Linked DNA regions of Rhinolophus ferrumequinum. The protein of the gene in region 3 interacts with the protein of the main gene of each other region in a biochemical or structural test. Links are inferred from orthologs where the notes say so. Each region holds a gene or a part of one and is shown on either strand. Other genes may lie near its edges.

What was found.
Region 1: the proteins of TRIM21 (region 3) and UBE2W are reported together in a solved structure, tested with the Homo sapiens proteins (2 studies listed by BioGRID, with this or other methods). The link is inferred for Rhinolophus ferrumequinum from reciprocal best matches to the Homo sapiens genes TRIM21 and UBE2W.
Region 2: of the proteins of TRIM21 (region 3) and USP4, one has a biochemical effect on the other in vitro, tested with the Homo sapiens proteins (2 studies listed by BioGRID). The link is inferred for Rhinolophus ferrumequinum from reciprocal best matches to the Homo sapiens genes TRIM21 and USP4.

The regions. Positions count from the first base shown.
Region 1 is NC_046297.1:8,840,906-8,847,894, reverse strand, and holds the start of UBE2W (ubiquitin-conjugating enzyme E2 W), read right to left. Parts: upstream 3,013-6,989; 5' UTR 2,934-3,012; coding exon 2,919-2,933; intron 1-2,918. UniProt on the Homo sapiens protein: Accepts ubiquitin from the E1 complex and catalyzes its covalent attachment to other proteins.
Region 2 is NC_046300.1:7,022,047-7,028,959, reverse strand, and holds the start of USP4 (ubiquitin carboxyl-terminal hydrolase 4), read right to left. Parts: upstream 3,013-6,913; 5' UTR 2,955-3,012; coding exon 2,854-2,954; intron 1,110-2,853; coding exon 982-1,109; intron 1-981.
Region 3 is NC_046294.1:47,069,079-47,076,231, reverse strand, and holds the start of TRIM21 (E3 ubiquitin-protein ligase TRIM21), read right to left. Parts: upstream 3,007-7,153; 5' UTR 2,884-3,006; intron 2,778-2,883; 5' UTR 2,632-2,777; exon of another isoform or gene 2,567-2,631; intron 1,910-2,566; 5' UTR 1,873-1,909; coding exon 1,465-1,872; intron 985-1,464; coding exon 889-984; intron 1-888. UniProt on the Homo sapiens protein: E3 ubiquitin-protein ligase whose activity is dependent on E2 enzymes, UBE2D1, UBE2D2, UBE2E1 and UBE2E2.

The DNA.
Region 1 (6,989 bases), on a different chromosome or scaffold from region 3:
GTTTCTCAGCATTACAGGTGTGCTGGGACACTGACCGTCTCCAACCACTCTCACTGTCTAGCCAGATGCTTCCAACCTCCACAACCCCACCCACCTCAGCATGCCAGTCAAAAATTATTTTCCCCGTGTACCACAACCGGAAAAAAGGTTGGGAGGCACGGATAGGGTACACTAAAGCAGGTATAACCTCAGCTGTAAAATATATACTCTCCGAGTATAAATATTTTTTGAACGAGAAATTCAAAGTCTATCCTTAATTGATGTTATTGATCTTAAAGACTAATTTATTTCATTTTTATCAACTCAAGTAGTCAAATCCTATGTTACATTTGTATAACATGCATGTTTTTAAAATACAGTTCCTGGTAGAGCTTAAGTAACCTCTTCAGCAGCAGTAATATCCTGGTGTAAGAAATCTGAAAACTTTTTAGATAAAGGCAGGGTCAGAGACGCATTCATGTATGGCACATCTTTTCCCAAGCACTCTAACTGAAACCCCAAAATATCCATTTCCTAACCTCCTTCCACACTTTTTTCCCACAGCACTATCACCTTCTAACACAGGACACAATTAACTTAAATATTTTGTTCTTCTCTGACTTCCCCAACTAGACTGTTAACATCCACAAGGGCAGAAATCTTTTCTGCTTTTGTTCACTTCTCCATCGCCAGCAATTCGATGAGTATCTGACAGAGTGGGCCCTCAAAAAATAACTGATGAGCGAATGAACAAATGTCATAATTTGGCTGCAATTTTATGTGTAACAGTTATTTCGGGAAAAAAGTTCAACTTTGCTATTAAGATGGTCAGGAAAAAAAATGTGTTCACCAAAGACAGAAGAACCACATTGGAAGGAGTGCTGTGTTTCAAAAAGCTGGATTTATCTATATTAAAATAGTTTTCAAGATACTACCAGAAAATCTGTACGAGATGTTTTTAAAATACAAATAAAAGACTCAGTTTTACTTGAATTAAAACACCAGGGAACACCAGTTTTCCATTCCTCTCATCAGAAGACACAAAGAAATAAAAGGCGATAAGACAAAGGTAGTACTTGGGGCACAGAAAAATGCAGTATTACACTGGCAAGTATTTTTCCCCATTGTTTAAGTCGTCACATAAAATTCAAGATTATCAACATTAAGTTCCATACTGACTCATTTTTCTCTTAAAAACTGAAATCTGCCTTTTCCAGACTGGAAGCCTAAATCTAACTAGCTAATAAGTTATCCCTATTATTTTCTTGTGAAATATAATCACAAATATTATGAATAGTAAGCTTAATTTTTAGTCTTAAAACAGTTTTACTCTTAACACAAATAATCTTAAATTGGTCGTATAGCCCATCTACTGTTCAACGAGTATTTCACAGTTCCTTTTTTGGTCTCAAATGACGAAACTTCTCTAACGTCTCTGGGGAGATTAGTGTAAAGTATGTTTCCTGAAATTGTTCTTGTTTTTTCCCTGCACCATTTCGCTGACATCTTTTCAACGAGGAATGTTATATACATTTTTTTCCAATTCTCCAGGAAAGTCCAGAGGGAGAAGCAAAAGTCAAAAGAATACCGTGTGGCAAACAGGTTGAAAGGGGATAACCCAAAAGCACGTAAGTAAATGTGAAGCAAATACGTGCATAAGAGGAAGATGATGCAATAAAAGAGATAAAAGAAAACCACTGTTATGCTTAGAAAGGAGGGAAAAAAAAACAAAAACGGAGGGGTGTATAGGGAGGCTTGCTTATTCTTCTAAAAACAAAAGCACAAAATCCTTTCGAGAAAAACTCTAAAAAGCGCTCGGCTGACACTCCAGACGGGAGTTCTGCCTTCTCTTCCTATGTCTTTTGATACAGGTAGTCTTCATCTGTAAATCAAATGCAGGCCATAGATAATGCGGAGTCAATCTCTAAAACACTGCACTTGTGGTTGCCATCTTTGCCAGAAAAAAAAAAAACCAACTCCTCGAATTTGAAAAAAAGGGTTACATTAAGTTGGAAAGCCAGAAAACCATGCATTGCCAAGCCAGGTAGCTATGACACGAGTTAACAAACACCTTCTACCAAACTAAGGTTCCACTAGAGATCAGGGGAAGAAGGGCAAAGGGCTGTAGTCGGACCGCGACTGCATGGGTGGGGCACCCTAGGGGGAAAAAAAAAATTGAGGGCGAGCTCTCTATCCCGGGAGCTCTAAGGGGGTCGGTGACTCGGCTCTCCGGGACATTGCATATTAGGAGGCGATGATGTCGACGGGCGAAGGGCAGCTTCGGGGAGAGTGAGAAAGTGGGCTGCTGTTCGTTGAGAGTGAGGAGGCTGGCAGAGGAAGGTACCCAAGTGGCAAAGGATTAAGAGTCAAAGGGAAGAGAGCCGGGGGCCGCGCAGTGAGAGAGGCCGGCGTGGGAGGCCTCAGGAGAGGCCGCCGAGAGCCCTTGCATCCAGCCGTCTTTTCCCGGAACGCGTTTTCAGCTCCCCCACACTCAGCCCCTCTCAGGGCCGCCCTTCCCTGCGCGACAACGGCGAGAGCAGCTGTTTCCGCCAGGCCGGGGACGGCGGAGGAAAAGGCATCCCTGGGTCCGGCGGGCAGGCCTGCAGCGGCCGTCTGTCCGAGCGGGACACGGCTCCCAGACTACTGCCGCCGAGCCAACGTCAAACTTTGCCCTTCCCTTCCCTTCGCCTTCTTTATCCCCCAACTTCCCGGCCGGCTGGTGTCCGCTTCGGCCAACCGATACCGCCCCCCCCCCCCACGTCCTTCTTCTCGCCGCTTCTCACCCCTCCCCAACGCCCTAAGGCTGGGGAAGGACTCGCCCCCAGGGCCGCTCCCGAGCCCGCCGGGGTGCCCTCGAGTCCCAGATGCCGCCCCCGACGGAACGCTCCCATCCTCTCCGCGGCTCCCTCGCCCGCCCAGATGCTGCAAACTCCTCTCACCTGCATTGACGCCATGATGGAACCATCCCCCCCGAGGGCTGGCGAGGCCAGAGACGCAGGGGGCGGAGCTGCCGTGCTTACGTCACGCCGTGGGGGCCCAGCATCCCGGGCGCGGGAGGCGGGGCCTCCGAGGGATGGGCGTGGCGTAAGCGGGATTGGCTGGCGCGCTGGGCCCCCGCGGGGAGGGGCGGGCGGGGCGCCGTGACCCGCGCTGTCCGTGTCACCCGTTTCATCCCGCTCCCTGGCGCCGGCTGTGAGCCCACCCGCCATGCGGATCGCTTGGGAAACGCGGGTCCCGTTCTGACCTGGCCACAGTTGTTTTTATTTGTCTGTCTGTGTCTCGAGATCTTGATGATGTCCGGACTGTGAGTTTTTTTGTTTTGTTTTGTTTTGTTCTGTTTTGTTTTTCCAACCACAGGTGTATGGTTTACAGATTTTCCCTTTCGGATGTATGTTTTTTCCACACTACGGCGCCCACTTTCAGACCCTTGGGGCAAGACAAAACTTTCCGCGGGGCTTTTTTGACTTTTCGAATCTGAAGGGCTTCTCATATTCCTATTCGGGGAAGAGAGACACAGATTTCCTTGTACAATGGGATGAGAATTGAGAGCAGAACAGCATTTTGCTTTAAAGACAAGGGTAGATTTGTAGCGCTGTAACTTGCCCAAAAGGGAAGGGAAAATTTTGAAGTTTTTTCGTCTGTGTGCGATTTCCGCCCCTTCACTCCATCCCCTCCATTTAAAATTCACGTGTGTAGCAGTAATAGTTACGGTTGTCACAGCATTGGCATTTGATGAGACATTTGCCCCTAGACATGAATTTCTTTTTTTAGTACCACCGTCACGTTATAATATACACATATCTTCTATCACATCCAAACTTCAATCTGTCTCATGGTGGGCAGTTTTGTGGTCATTCGACCTAGGGATGTATCTGAGTAGGGAAAGCTCAACATACGGAATTTATTCTGGGAATGCACCAGTTCTGCCAACATTTATCAGAAGCCACGTTTTAAAAAAGCTATTACAGAATTCAGGATGTTGGTTTACAAGAGGAAAATGGTAGCCGAAGGCTTGCATCTCGTGTTCTAGCTCTAAAAAATTAAGGTAGCTGACACATAGAAAACTTTTACTTTACCAGAATGAAAGCTTCAAATCTTTCATTAATTCGGAGATCTTTTAGAAATTTCTAGAAGTTAATATTTAAATATAAGAGCAGTGTAGGCTATCATCCTTTCCACTCTTAAGCTAGATTATGTTCTTTGAAATTCCCTAACGTAAAGTGTGTTCAAAAAGGAAAAAGATCTTAAAATACACCAATTATTCTATGTTATAATAATAAACACACTATTCTTCATCAGTACAGAGGAAGTTATATTGGTTTACTTTTTTCTCTCAGACTTCCACCCTCATTGCCAGAAATGGGCTGGCTTTCCCTTTGTTGTGCGAAACGACTGTGTTCTTAAGGAATGTTTGGAGGCTCTTGGCAACCAAGAATCACCCCGAAGCACATCAGGTGTTAGCCCAGTGTGTTGGCAACATTTCAACTGTGAGTAAAACCCATATATTCCAACGAAAGAGGAAAACTTTTCCAGATTTATTTTCTTCTGGAGATTTTTTTATTCCTATGATGTCAGAAAATGGCTCCAGAAGATCAGATTTTACCATCTAAGGTTCACTGTTTAAAAGCTAATTCTCCCTAAGGTGTAAGTGACATCAGGTGACCCCGCAAAGCATTATGACATCATCAGAACCAACAACCTGCCATTACAAAGACTAATAAGGGGTTACAGGAATCTTGACAGTCCTCACAGTGAAATCAACATCTGGTCCCTTGAATTTTCTGTGTGTTAAAAAGGATCGTAATAGAGGGGAAAGTCAGTACCAGGCTTATCTTTCCTAGGAAATATTAAATAGTACATAATTACTTCACTATCTTCTTCATTCTTTCAGTAATATATAATAGAAAGTCCCAATGTACTCGGGATAAAATAGTGACCTTCAGATGGGGTTGGGACATGTAATTATAGCCAAAGGGCATGAAATTTTTATATCTAAAACACTTGATTACACAATGTTTGAAGACTAGGCTCACATCTCATTTCTTTAGAGTGGGGCTTACTATCAGATAGGCAAAAGGTAAAATGTCTGACAATCCCAAAAGTGGGAGAGGAAGTGGAGCTTTCATAAACTCTGTAGGAAAGAAATTGGTACAATCACTTTGTAAACAGTTCAGCAACAGTAAAGTTAAAACTTCCCATACCTTTAAAGATTCTTTTTAATAGCATAAATTGCAATAAAAGATATTTAAGGGACATATTAAACAAATGTTAACCTTGTTTGGATCCTGGTTCAAACAAACCAACTGTAAAAAGATATTTCTGAGATAACTGGAAGAAATTTAAATATAAAATGGATATTAGATGATACAAAGGAATAATTATTATTTTGTTAGATTGGATAATGATATTCATTTTTAAATTTACACAGCAATTAGAAATGGCCACCAGGTTAGAGGAGGTGATTCTCTCTTATCTCAGAAACTACCCCCACCTCTGCCTCCCTGGAAGAAAAAAAAAAAAAAAAACCAGGATAGACCCAAGCTGTGTATGTGCCTGAAGTTTTCCCTTTCAAGGAAAGGCACAGCCTGTGATAGAGGATTAAAAGCAGCTGCATTTTCTGGCAGAAAACTGGAAGATATATGGGAAACCAAACAGTCATAGTAACCTGAAGGACCCATGTGTTAAAAAGGCACTAGACTTGCAATCAAAAGGCCTAGATTTGAATCATAACTCTGCTACTTCTCAGTTCTGTGACCTGGAGTTGGTCATTTAAACTTCTCTGGGCCTTAGTTTTGTCATCTGTAAAATGGAGATAAAAATGCCAGCATATGGATTGGGGAGGAGTCTTGATGAGACCATGTGTAAAGGAACTTCATGAAGTGCACAGCACCACGTAGATGAGACGCGGTACCTACTTTATCTTCCAGATGACTCTGTTCTTTCTTCTGTGGGCAGATGTGATGTTGGCTAGAGATGAGAAGTGGGGTATATGGCAGTGACTGAGAAATACCCATACCAAGATCCCCAAATTTCCCATCACTGTGAGCACAGAAGAGTCTGGGCAGACACTCTGCTCTGAACTGAGCCTGCCATTGATAAACTTGCAAGGTCGGGATGCTGCCTCTCCCCACCCCATCCAGTGTCCTCACCCACATGGGGCATCCTCCCAGACCTGCCCTTAGTAAGGGCAATAATGATAACAGCTGTCTTGGATTGAATATTTGCATGTGCCACCATAAGAGGCACTTGTATTTCCTGTATTATTTAATCTTTAAAACAGAACTATGAGGTACATAAACCGATTCCCACATTCTAGGGAAGGAAACAGGCTTCGAGAGGCCGGGGAATTTGCCAGACACCCACCTTATGAACAGCAGAATCAGAATTCTACCTTGGGAACTCGAACTCCATGACTCTACAGATTGAATTATTTAACTAGTACACAATCCTGTCCTTCCAATTCCATTTCTTAATGACCCATATGAATGAGGTGTGAAAATAAAAGTAACTCTAATCAAATCGATTCATTTTAAACTATGAAACTTAACAGGCAAGGTGGATTTTACATTTCACCCAGAATATCTGATGCCCCCAAATATATCTAATTGGTGAATATTCATAATTTGACAAAATATAAAAAAAAAGGAAAAGTGGCAATTTTGACCAAAAAGCATATATTAAATGGCAGGCACTGGGGATATAAAGATGAGTAACATACAGTCCCCATGTTCACATTGCTTACAATCAGGATTTTGATACAAAAGCTACTGACTGGCCATGAGGGGATCATAAGGGAGGGTCACGTGGTCTTGCCTAGGACCTGAAGATGGCTTCCTGGAAGAGCCAAGGCCTGAGCAGAGGAGAAAGGGGAGAAGAGGCTTTCCAGGCAGAGGGAGCGTTAACCATGTAATTGGTGTTTACAGAGGATGACAATTTGTTATTGCCCAACAAACTGATGGAAGGAGGTGGAAGACAGGCAGGCAAGACCTGGTCACGGCAGGCTTGGTTGG
Region 2 (6,913 bases), on a different chromosome or scaffold from region 3:
TGCTTACCCTTAGCTGAAGGTCATACAAAATGACTTTCGAGGGCCCCTCAAGCTCTAGGATTCTCATCACTATTACTATTAAAAGCCTTAAGATTTCTCTTTTCCAAAGAGAGGACAAAGAGCAAACGTTTTGCAATGATCCCTTGAGGCAACTTCATGGCATAATGCCACCATCTGACCTACTTCAGGAAACATAGCATATGACTGTTGATTGCGTCATTTAGACTCCCCAAAAACGAAGTCTGAGCTGAAGTACTACTCATTTTTAAAAGCACGCAGGTTAGTGTTAGGTACTTGGATCAAGCTTCATGCATTATCTGCCGTCCTGCTGCCCTGATTTTGGTCACAGAAGACAGATCACCTCTGTCCTGCTTGCAAGGGAGTCTAAAGCCAGGCAGAACAGACTAGGAAAGGCTGACTGTCATCTCTGTGCATCTACAGGTGCAAGCTAAGCTCAAGTGTGTCATGCATCACTTTTTCAATCACTTCTTCCACTGGGAGCTGATTGTGATAACTCTACTGACCCTCTATCTTTCCTCGTACTATTTCTATGACAAACACAGCCATCACAGAAATGTCTGAAGAATATCGACAGATCTACAATTTGTCCCACTGCAAAGGTAACCAAGAAAATTCTGGTTCCCAAATTTCAGATTCCAGATCAATTTCAAAATATCCTATTTCTTTCCATCCCATATACTAATCTAAAATCTCTGGCAGAATTTGCAAAAGGAGAGAGAGAGAGAAAGAAATTTAAAATGTTACAAGCATGCTCTTGTTAGAAGTTAGTTTAGGAAAAAGGCAGGTTCACTTCTCCAAGACTCTACAAAGACTTCTGCTACAGACATAAGTCAAGGACACTTGTTTCCGTCCCCTCACAGGAGGAAAGTCAAGTTCACAATGTCCATGTTACACATAATTATGACCTGAGGCCACTACCATGGTTGACATTTCGGATAGAAAAGGAACAGAATACTGCACCTGAAAAGAGTCCGGAGTTATCTATTGGGCCAGGAAACAGGTTGTGTTCACCCACATTGTACATATCCCAGCTGTCGAAGCCCACATACTTCTTCCACTGTTTGAACCACCGGCTGTCAATAAGATACCTAGAGATAGACAAAAATTTACTGTACCAGAAAAGCTGAGATAGTAAGTTTCTGCAGCTGCTCCCCTAATTTCTTTATGGTCTTTCCACTTAGGGAACAAGCAATCCCCACTAAAAAACATTCTCAAGACAGAAGCAGGGCCAGCCCCATATGGCACAAAGAGCCAATGGATACTTCTGAAAGTATCCAGTAAGTGAAACGATTATTGAAAAATGAATAAATGAAAGGAAGGAAATGACTGGCTTCAAAATATTTATTTAAAGCAAGTCTTTCTACTGTGAAAATCTTGTTTGCTAAGGACCAAGTCACTAATGTCATAATGATCTTTACAGAGGTCCTTCTCCAGGTAGACAATTTGGTTACACTGCTTTGCTTGACATGAATAACATTAAACTAATTTTCTTTCTGAAAATGGGATAATAACATCACACACTTCAGCATTCCTTTGAGGACCAAACAAAATGTCAAAAAAATGTGTGTACATATGTATATATGTGTACATACAGACATACATGTATACACACATGTACATACATACACATGTAATGTGTAAGTACAATTATATTGTCAAAAAGCAAGTTGATCTGGTTGTATTTTTTAAGTATTACTATGCTGTTTTACAATTAAGACAGAAGGAGGGGAAAACCTCCATTGGGGAAACAAAGCACAATTATATTGGTGAGTCTTTCAAATTTTATAACCAACAAACCTCAGAGATAGGCAGCTTCTCAGGGGTCACAAGGATCCATAAATCCAAATCTCTAAATGCTCTTTTCCCTCCAAACCCCTTGAACAATACCCTCTAAACACGCTAAGAGTGTGATTTTAGTCTCTCAAGTGTCCTCTGCCCCTGCGTGCCCTGCCTGTCACAGCTTGGCTCGCTCAAGAACAGTGTAAAGTCTTATATGAGTTCCTCCTAATCCCAATGTCTCTCTTCCCTGCTCATTCCTGGCACTGTAAGTGGCATTATCAACACCACCATGGTTTCTTAAAGAGGGAAGCTCAATCATTCTTTGTAATAAAGCCAAGGTCCAGTTTTCTACACCCACACAATAATACCACCCAGGAATCTCTTTACCAGTGGAAGTACTGTCCCTTTCACTAAACAATTTATTATGAAACTTCTTGTCTCAGACTTGATCTTCTAAAGCCCAGTCTTTTCATCTTTTTTTTTACCTAGGCTATGAAATGCTGCTGCCACAATTATTTTTGACATTTGCTACCAAAATAACCTGGGGCTCTCAAACATTTGTTCAGCTTCTGACCTTGACATCTGTTCTGCTGTTTACAAGTTACAAAGTGTCTACTTCTGATACGCCTCAACCCACTGAAGGGGAGTATGTAGTGTCAAATACTGCTACCACGGTTTTAAGAGTAAGGAACTGGGGTCTATGAGGTGTGGACGCCTTTGCCCAAGGTCACACATCGAATGCCCGAAGGCAAAGGGCTCTCCCCATCCTGAAGGTCCCGGTGAGCACTCCAGTCCCTATCCTGCAGCTCTTTCCCCCGCCGGGTCCGCCCACTGGGGTTCCGAAAGGGCTGAGACGACTCTCAACTCCGCCCACGCTTTCCCAGAAGTGACCTCAGGGTCCCTTTCCTAAGGGGCCGAGGTCAGGCCACTCTTCTCAGAGTCACTACATCGCCCCCGCCCGGCCCCTACCCAAGCCGAGAAAAAGGGGCCGGCCTGAGCGCCAGAGCCCCGGCCCCTGGCCCTGCGCGGCGGAAAGGTGGGCCGGGCGCTCACCACTGCGCCCCCCGTTGGAGCGTGGTCCTCATCAAAGCCCCTAGCTCCGATTTCTGGGTCTCAGCATCCGGTCGTTCACCGCAGCCTCCACCTTCCGCCATCTCGTCCGCAGCCCAGGCTCAGCCGGTCCGGACATCCGCCTCGCGCACAGCGTGTGTGGGCCACGCCCACTCACGCACGCACGTACGTGCGCGCGCCCAAAGCCCCACCTGGCGCAGCGGCCTTGAGCGCGGCCCGCCTGTGCGTTCTCTCCCGCCCCCACCCACCGCCCTCTCCCACGGGTGCGCCGTGAAGCAAAGCAGGGAGGGGGCCGGAAGAGCAGGCGGGCGCCGGGGAAGGAGCGGCCACTTCCTCCCGCTCCGAGGGGTGTCGGGCACTCCTTTCTCTGTACAGCCCCGCGGTCTCAAGGAGTCAGAATGCAGGACCCACGACCCCTCTCCTCTGATGGAGGAAGTCATTGAAAGGACGTGATGACCGGTTGACCCGCGAGCTCGACTCGGGCAATCGGAGGCTCCTCTCCCCCTTCCCCTGTCCTTGGAGTGAGCGTTCTGCTTGGCTCCAGGTGCTAGAAACTGCCCAAGGACGCAGTTTTGAGATAGTAATGTGGTGCCGAGAACTTCTGGAAGGTCTTCGTGACTGAGTAGTTAAGGCCTCTGTACAAACTTTAAGATTCTGGTGGTCAAGTAGCTCTACTTTTGCGCGCCCAAGACAAGCCCTATGTAAGTTACCCTGCTTATTAAACCTGCCACCTACCAATCTGGAGTGGCCTCCCTCTTCCGCTCTCCAAGTCTTCTGTGTTAGGGCCAGTTTCAGATTCTATCCGGAAGCTCCCTGGAGGCTTGCGGGGTTATCCTGGTCTTAAATGCACTGCTAGAGACTGGAAGCCTTGGAACTGGATTTTCTTGTGTTCACTCCTGCCATTCCACTTTCAGCAGAAGGCTTGAGCGCGTCCTTAGCTGCCCAGAAATAAGATGGGGATTACTGTCCCGGAGGATATCAGATGTGCCCGGTGCACCATCGCATATACTGGAAGGTGTGGTCTGATCATTAACAATCGTTTCAAATAGTCTGGATGCCAGAATCACCTGGCCCACGGCAGAATTCCACAAGCGCTCCACGCTGAGCTACTTGCCTTGCCAGAGGGACAAACAGCCACAGAGGGGTGATAGCAAGGTGGGAAGGGGAGAGGTCTGGGTGTGTTCTCCACCTTAGGTGCCCAGGCTTATTAATTTGTTGCTGCAACAAGTACAATATCCTGAATACTGTATCTTTTCCACTCAACCCTGTGCACAAAAACAGCCCTCTCCCTGGAGGGGACGGAAGCCCAGAACAAGGAGAAAGCCAGACAGTTGGTCTACATGACTCTCCATTCACTTGTCTCTCAGTTTCTATCCTCAGAGAAAAAAATAAGACTCAATACCTGCCTGTGTACAATCTAATAGAGAAGAAATCTACAAATACCCCTGCACCAAGCAGAGTGTGGTAAATGCCATTAACAGGTATGAACCAGACTGTAGACCCTGAGCTCTGAAAGGGAGCCTTTGACTTGAGTAGCATTTGAGTGAGGTCTTGAAGAAAGCATAGAAATGATGGTGTGTGTTACAGGAGGGGAGACTAGAGAGGTCAGAGAGAATTTCTGGAAAAAGCAGGGTAGGATCAAATAGTGAGGATTAGGCCAGTTGAGCTGGGCACAGACTACTGAAAGAGACTGAGATCTAAAGCTTTCTAGATCTACATGTCCTGCCTTGCATGGTCCACAGTTACTGTAAGAGGTTTTGGAGCAGAGACCAAATGGCTTAGGGTGCTTTACACACACACAGTGGTGCAGCCCAAAGACCTACTAGGGACCTTGCCCTGAAGAGGGGGTTATGAGAGAGGAGAGGAGACTCAGATGAGCCATGTGATGGAAGAGGGAGAGCTGGCCTGGTGAAAATGGTTGGTCATCTGAACAGATTTACTATTTCTATGTTGGGTTACGGCTAATTGAAATTAATTTATACTCCCTGGGACATCCATCACACACCATCTGGTAACACAGGCCTCTTGGTAATTGGGTAGATAGCAGGGGAAAGTAAATTTGGAATTAAAATTGCCTTCAATAATCACATAGCAATTAATCCCCTGCAGATAAGAGTTACCACTGGTGACTCTGGGTGGTGAACACACAGTGTGATTTATGGATGATGTGATACAGAATTGCACAACTGAAATCTATGTAATTCTACTAACAATTGTCACCCCAATAAATTAAAAATAAATTAAAAAAAAAAAAAAAAAGTTACCACTGGTGATAATTCAACAGCTGGGGAGCCAGGCCTGACAACCCGAGTGCCCTTTTTTGAAAGTTATTTGAAATTGTTAAAATGTTAACAAACAAGAAACACTACCTTTAGTCCTGTTATTTATGGAAAAAGAAAGTTGGGTTAGTGACATTACTTCAGAACCTACTTTAGAGAGTGTCTGCTTCCCTCTTCTTTTTTTAGCAGTTTCCCCTGTACCATTTATGGCATGGGTCACAGTCTTAAGGAAGTAGGACGAGTCCTCAGCACGACTAGAAAGAAGGACAAAACCTAATTATAAAAATGAAAACTTTGGAAAATCTTTTTAAACCTGGATTTCTTCAGTGCTATTAAATAGCAATAAAAATAGTACACTAATTATGGGTATTTCCTAAAATTTAAGACTGCAAAGTGCCAGTAGTTAAAATGTGAGGAACAAAGTGAAACATCATAGTCAGAAGATCATTATTTCCAATGTTTAAAACTTTTGTTAGTTTGATTAAAACGTTAAAAACTGAGAACAATGAGCATCTGCCATTTGTTCCACCTATTGTGGGAGTGACCTGTGGATTAAGAAGGAAGTGAGTTGGGGCTGGCCCGGTGGCTCAGGCGGTTGGAGCTCCATGCTCCTATAACTCCGAAGGCTGTCAGTTTGGCTCAGTTGGTTGGAGCGCGTCCTCTCAACCACAAGGTTGCCGGTTCGACTCCCGCAATGGATGGTGGGCTGTGCCCCCTGCAACTAGCAACAGCAACTGGACCTGGAGCTGAGCTGCGCCCTCCACAACTAAGATTGAAAGGACAACAACTTGACTTGTAAAAAAAGTCCTGAAAGTACACACTGATAAAGTCCTGTTCCCCTTCCCCAATAAAATCTTTAAAAAAAAAAAAAGGAAGTGTGATTCAGGCCAGGAGACACCCTGGCCCCAGGGCTATATTCCCCTTTAGGCCATTTGCTTGGGAGAGGTGTAGAGGTGTAGGCCTAGTAGGGCACTCATTTGGCCCCACAACCAGACCCCAGAACTAAACAACCCACCTGTTGCCATGGGAACTTGGGCCACAAGAACCAGGAGGAAAGCAGGAAGAGAGCTAGAGGGGAGAGGCTTGGCTGATTGGTCATGAACTGCTTGATGTTGGACTGTGGTGATCTACTTGAGGGTTTGTAATGTCTGGGCATGTGAACTTGAAGCTTTATTTGGTGCCAAATCATAAAGTTCTCGTGTGGGCTGGTACTGTGGCTTGCTCTATACCTAACTGGCATTGGCCCTCCAAAGTCACCCCTGGTCCACACTTAGCCAGCAATTACAGAGCACATGTGGCAGTGAGTGGGCACCTTTTGGTTAGAGGTGACACAAATATTGGGCACCTTTTGATTAGAGGTGGGCACCTTTTGATTAGAGGAGGGAAGTATTTTTGTTTCCTTCTTGCCTGTGCTTCCTTAACCTGCCCAGGGGACTGTGGAAAAGTTGAAAATCTCTAGTATATTTTAGAAGAACTAAAGGTCTGACCGGTAACATTATAACCTCTGTTATATAAGGGTTAGGTTATTGGGGAAGGTGACAGAGGCAAAAACCTGAAAGAATCTCATAGAGAGGAAGTGGGATCACCTTTCCTACCTTGGAGACTCGTGCAGTTGGATACATTCCATTCTGGTTATGCCACTGTCTATGGCCACTGTCTGACTGGGCAGGGAGGGGGGCGTGGCACCCTAGGCCCAGGTGTGGCCAGTGTCTTCTTTTTCTCCTAATTCTATTACCATCAGTGTCTTAACCATAAACAAATAT
Region 3 (7,153 bases):
GGGGGAGGGTGCATTGTAGCTGCCCTACAACCACTGCTGCATTGGCCCATGTTACCAGAGACTTTCAACCTCTTTCAAAACCCAGTCAGCACCCACGTATGTCCTTTTGTCTTCCTATCTTGGAGAATTACTAAGACAGTAACACCTGTCCCCATCCCAACAAGCTCACAAAGATAACACCATTCTTAAGTCCTGGGGAAAGAACGTCTTTGTGATATTCTTTGCTTGCCCTTTTGTGTTAGTGATTGAAGAGTCACCGGATAACACAGGATGACCCTTTTTGCCACCACAGGCTGGTACACTTCCCCGGTCCCAAATCTTCCTCTTCTGGGTTCTACTGGTCATGAGTTCCTTCCACTCCTCTGGCCCTGACCCACCCCACCTCCAAATCACCAGTGCAGGACAAGCTTTAGTTCTCCGTTCTGTTTGAACCAGTGATCTGGACATGGTTAAGCAATCACCTGGTCAGACTGGTTTTCCTACCTCAGGCCTTGGTGGTTCCCTTACGTCTGTTCATCACAGCCCTTGTCATTTCCTAACAGGCCTAGCCACTGGTCATCTCTCCTGGAATACCTGTCCCAGACACCGTGGTGTGGTCATCCCCTAAGACTGGGCTCAAGGAAGAGGAGATTTAGGGTATGGCTTGTCCCTCAGTACCTTCTCCTAAGACTTGATCTTTGTGTCTGATTGGGAGTTCTCTTTGAGCTTCATACTCTTTATGCCCCTCTATCAGGAGACCTAGAGGACTGTTGGTTTTTGAAGAGTGAGATACACACACTCTATCACTCCTCAGACAGGCACAGCTATGGTCAGGGCTTTCTTGAGGCCAGGACCCTGGACCCTGCCTAGGCTTCTGATCTAAGATTCCCTTTGGGATATGACTCTTGCCTTCCAGTCTGTTCTCTTTGTAGCAATATCCACTTCCAACTTCTCAACCGACTCTTGTTCTTGTCTCAGTTTCCCTAATGCCACCTGGAGCTTCTCCTGCACAGAAAGATAGCAGGTTAATGTCCGACCAGATCAAGAAGTAGGGTGGGGTAGCATGAGGTGGGGGAAGGTTTACTGGTTCTTAGAAAAGCTTGTGTGTAGAGAAGGGAGGACTAGTCTGATTGGGGTAGGAATTTTGTGGAAAGGAAAACTTTGGAAAAAGCCTCATGTTTCTTACAAAACAGAGCCACATTGTTGGGGTGGCAGGGGTGAGGGCACTACTTATTCCTAACTAACCAGGAAGCCACAGGGAATCATGATCCTTGCATCATTTTACCATAGCGTCGCCCCTGCTCCTGGGGAATGAGAAGGCTGTGCTGACCCTTAATTTAGACATAAAAAGTGGGGGACACCCATTCTTTCTCTAATCTCTTTACTCTATGGGTGACTCTCTCCCATCCCAGCTCTGGGGAACAAAGCACTCATCAGGGCCCCCTCTCCTTTCTACCTGTTCATGCCTCTGTGCCAAGGCCTCACCTGGTATTCCTGAGCAGCCTCCTCAATCGGGACCATGGGATGGTCACGGTGTTTCCGGGACTGGGAACACACCCAGCAAAGGGTGGTCCCATCTTTCTCGCAGAATAGGTGAAGTTTCTCTCCATGTACTCTACATTGCTTCTTCTGTGTGCCCTCCTTGGCATTCTGGCTGATTTGTCTTAGGTTGTCTACCAGGTTGGCTAGCTGGCGATTTGGCCGGAAGTTCCTGAGCAGGAATTTGTTCCGGCACACAGGACAGACACTGCCTCCACCTTTCCCAACCTGAGAGATACATTCGTTGCAGAAGCTGTGGCCACATTCAATGCTCACAGGCTCCACCATAGGATCCAGGCAGACAGGGCATGTGACTTCCTCCCACATCATTGCCAAGGGCATTGCTGAGGCCATGAGGGGAAATGTTTCTATGAAGTGGCACTATGGAGATCTTGCAGTGACATAATGGGGAGAGGAGAAAAGGAAGGAAGACGACGAGAAAGGTTGTGTGAGAAAAGCGAAAAAAATTAAAAGGCAAACATGAGGGAGAGTGACCGGTAGGGGTTAAAACACAAGAACATTAAGCTGAATGACAAGAGCTTCTCCCCCCCAGTCTGCTCCATTGATCCAGTCACACAGAAGGGGGAAGTGAATCCCCAAAAGACAGTGAAGTTGTTGGGAACTTCAGCAATAAAGCTGTTCACAATTCTACTTTTATCACATTTATCTCTGCTTAAACCCTCAGTGCCCAGGCTTTTCCCATCCATCTTCTCCCATCTCAGGCCATCAGTTCCTTATATATAGTAACATGAATATATACAGAAGAATATATTTATTCTTGTAAGTATATACGTATATCTGTAGGTGCACCTATATATGCATATATGTATACGTATCTGTATATGTATATATGTGTATATGTTTATACAGACACGAATGTGTGGTTAGCACTCAGCACTCCAGGCCCTTCTCTCGGCTACTCCACCCTAGCAGCTTCATTTCCTCCAGGGCATAGATCTATAAACTTCTAACATCCTAAACAACTCTGTCCCTCTCTCCTCCAGAAAGAGACTTTTGGAGATGGGAGTCTCAAGGATTGCAGACCTACCCTGCACCGGGCCCTCCTGGCCCACCCTGCCTCCTAGGTTTCTGGCCTGGTGCTCCCAGCTTCACCTGGCCGCTCGTCCCAGCTCTAGTGCCAGCAACAGGGCAGCCCGAGCTCCTTCCAGGTGACTTGGTCCCGTTCACAGCCCAGCCTCCTCCCAGGGCAGCCGAGTCAGCGCGGGAAAAACTGCTGGGTTAGGGCTGAGTGAGCCCTGCTGCGGAGAAGGTAAAACTGAGAGTGAAGGTTCTAGGGGTGGGCACTGGTTGGAAGGGGCTTCTCAGGGAGGACTGGGGTACCTTGGTCTAGCCAAGTTCACTCACCTTTTCAGGGACTCAGCAGATGGCAGCCGGCTTTTTATTTCACTTTCGATTCCTCTAAAAGGGAAGTCTGAACGGGAGGTAGGCACACGCCCGAGAGTAGGAGGAGCAAGAGGAGGAGAGTACACTGAAGGGGTGGGGAGGGCAGGAGAGGGAAGAGGAAGTGGGAGGAGAGAAGGAGGAGTGGAGGGTCTCAGTATCCGAAGCTGCTGACACCTCTGTCTAGTGCTTCTTGGAGGTTGGGACTGAGTGGAAGCTCCGCAGCGTTTAGTTCTTACTTCGTGCTCCCTCCCATGTCCTCATTGTCTAATACAGTAAAATATCGTATCCACTAGATGGAAGCGTCATCACCCCATGCCAACATGCTATGCCTACGTTTGGGAGCTCTTAGGGAGGTTTGGATGGAGAGGAGAGTGCCTGGAGCTCTCCCTCACATGCCACCATCTGCTGCCTGCTTTCAGAAACAATTCCTTTTCAGGCGATTCAATATTTTAACTTAAGGGTGTAAAAGATTTATTGTGCTTGACCCCAAGGCAGATATCACACCAGTGAGTGGTAAGAAGGGAATTGACAGTTAGTTGTTGAACACCAACTGGGTTCTTGTCACTGAGCTAGGGAGTTTCTCAGGTTACTATTATTTTTATTTTAAAAATTGTAAAATACACCGGACATAAAACTTACCATCTTAATCATTTTTAGGTGTATAGTTTGGAGGCATTACATACATTCACATTGTTGTGTAATTATCACTACTATCCATCCATAGAACTTTTTTTCATCATGCCAAGCTGAAATTGTACCCGTTAAACAATGATTCCCCACTCAGCCTCTGGCAACCACCATTCTATTTTCTGCCTCTATGAATTTGACTATTTTAGGTACCTCATATAAGCGAAATCACACAGTATTTGTCCTTTTGTGTGACTTACTTCACTTAGGGTAATGTGCATGTTGAAGCATGTGACAGGATTTCCTTGCTTTTTAAGGTTGAATAATTTCCATTGTATGTTTATCCATTCATCTGTTGATGGACATTTGAGTGACAACTTCCACCTTTCGACTATTGTGAATAGTGCTGCTATGTCAGGTTATATTATTTAAGCTGCACAACATTTTAGTGATTTAGGGGTTGTTAAACTCATATTACAAAAGAGGACACTGAGCCTGAACGGAGTGTAGTGACTTGTTTGAAGTGACATAGTAAGCATACTTGTATGATAACTAAAGGGCCAGGGAAGATCCTCATTTTAGTGACAGCTGGGACATAACAGGCTGCCCTGTCAGTTCAAGCAGAGGCTTTAGGAACAGCTGGAAGGGATGTTGTTATAGTTGTAGAGGAGGAAGGAGCAAAGAGGAAGGCTAGAAGAATCCTCAATTCCTTTCAACTCTGACATTCTTTTTCTTTTTTGTTCTTTTATAACTTAAGGTAAAAACATCAGTTGAACTTTGCTTGGTATTTTCTATAGATTTAGGAAATGTAAAAACATTTCATGCTTTTTTGAAATTTCTAGTTCTGTTTTTAAGATAATTTACTTAATGCAAGCAATGTGAAAACAGAATGAAAAAAAAAATCCAAGGAAGAAGAGACCTGTACGTGAACTTGCACTCAGAAAAGGACTGGGCTTAACACCACTGCAGCCCCTTTGTTGTTTCCTGCAGGCACAGAGTTAAGCAAGCTACTGTCGGTGGAGGTAGAAAAGAGCAGAGGTCTCACTATAGGACAGGATTCAGTACCAACCCTGCTGTTTACTAGGTATGTACGACCTCTCTGAGCTTCAATTTATTAATTAAATTAGGATATCAATATTTATCCTAATATTTATCCTAATATCTATCAATATTTATCCAGGGTTGCTTTGGTATTGTTCAATAATATGCACACAGATATTTTAACATGCATAACCGCAACAGTCCCCATCTTGGCAATTGGCTATATGAATAATGTTGCCACTCATTTCAAGTCCCCTCACTCACTGCCAGTACTTTAACACTTCAGTGTTCTTTCCTGGTGAGGTGACCCATACCTTCATTCTTGAAAGATCAGTGTTCTCAATGTTCCTGTTTTTAACACATTGGCCATTGCTGTTGGACAATGATATCTAGGAATCTCTCTAATGTGTATTTTCGGTTTTAGGCATAGTCTTTCTTGCCCCTATCACATACCAGCAACCCCAGTTCTCCTTGGTCATAGAGGTAACTCATTCCAGCCAGTATAGAAACCCCATCCTCTTCCTATTTCTTCAGTGGCTTAAGAATCCCCAAAGAGCCAGGAGTAGTTGCAAATTCCCATTTCTTAGAACTAGATTTGCTTACTCTGGTGGAAGGGTTTCTCCTTGTTTTTACAAGACCCTCCAAACAGGGCTGAGCCATATGTTGAGGGATGGAAAGAAAACTTTCCGTAAATGAATTACTAGTTTGATGGTAACAGAGGCCACTTCCACTTTTCCTCTTGATTCTGTGACGAGTGTATGTATACAGGATATGAAAAAAAAGTCACCATATATTAGTTGCTGACTTTAAGCATGTACCAGAATTTATGAGACCACCTAATAATCTCGCAGGGTGGGGTTTCCAAACTGGTGCCATCCCTGAGCCTTTAGTGAGGCATCCCATAGCTTTATTGGTCCACCTTTTCCTGGCTGACGGTGTACATTGTAAGATCAGTGCATTCCACAGGGCAATCCCATTATCAGAATTCTTTGATTGTAAAATCAGATCCTTGGTTGCAGGTGATATTGTCGGGATAGCCTGATGGTGTAAGTTTAAAAATGGTGGTGCTGGCAGAACCAATTTAGAGGGTTTAGGGGGCCAAATGAATTGGTCTCTGGAATATTACCCAACTTGTGAGGACAAATTGCTCTTCGTTCAATGTAACTAACTGTCTTGATTCTCTTAGAAATAGGGAAGAATCTGGCTCAGAGTTGGCCTTTTATGTCCAAGTGCCTACAGCAGCAGGGATAGAGGCTCTGCCTGAGTATGCATTTGCTCTCACTAAGGTTTATCTGTTTACCACTATGGATAAGGATTCTTGTACATAAACCCATTGACCAAGCAACAGGTGACTGGGGCAGAGGCTCAGCAACATCGACGGGGTGAATCATCTTATTTATCTGGTTAGAGGTACCTTCTCTGCATTGTATGTTCTCTAGTGGGTATTCACACGGAACAAAAGCATTTTCACACTCTGGATACTTTCCTGGAAGTTCCATGTGTCCTTCTACCCATAACTCTGTTACCAGCCTTTCAATCTTGTTTTCTTATTTTTCAGCTCCTGACCTGCAGGCCAACCTGTTAGACACGGTGAAGGTGGTATATAAGTAACGTACACCAATTCATCTTTTCTCTCAAGCAAAGTATAGAACCACTTGCTTCAAATACGGTCCACTGGGAAGATTTTCCTTTATCCTTGTCTTACAGGGTGAAATGTATTGGACGCCAATCTTGGCACCATCTCAGATTCCCTCTCATCCTCTTACTCAGCACCCTATCAGTGCTGGGACACCACTCCATACTCATACTGTCACATTTGGATGAAACATCACACTGCAGGGTGTGCGATCCAGATTTCTGAACAGCCATTATAGGCAAATGACATAAGCAAAAAGTACAGGGAGTTAGTTTTCCATGACGTGAACATTGACCGATGAGAAATGGGAGATAGGAGTGGGACAAATAAAATCCCCTCCTTTCTCTCCTCTGGACAATTTCAAGGCGAAGTTCCTCACTGCAGTTCTTCTCGTGAGCAAGCCCACTGGCTGATGGCTGTGTCCTTTTGAAACTCATGAATCATTATCCAGTGTGATAATGCATTTCATTGTTCTACATTTTTTCTTGCCTCACTTCCCTTCCCCCAACTCTGAGTGCCCTCTCTCTCTCTCTCTCTCTCTCTCTCTCTCTCTCTCTCTCTCTCTCTCTCTCTCTCTCTCTCTCTCTCTCTCTCTTTCTCCTCTCCTTGCCTGGTGAATAAAGATCACTAATTTAATCCTACTCCAATTTCATCTGGATGACCTGGTTAATCTTCCTCCAATATTTGCAATGCCTAAACCCAGGTAGAAACCAGATCACCGGAGCCTGGGAAACCCAGCAGTCAGGGATTAACCTCTGACAACAAAGAGGGGAAATGAATATATTTGAGAGCAAACATGCAAATGAGTAGCTCAATTTTATATACGTTTACATTTTTCCAGCTATTCTTAATCATTTATCATCTCAATTTTACAGAGTGGATACTGATGCATTTAGAGTCTAGATACTGGGCCCAGGGTATCTAGTT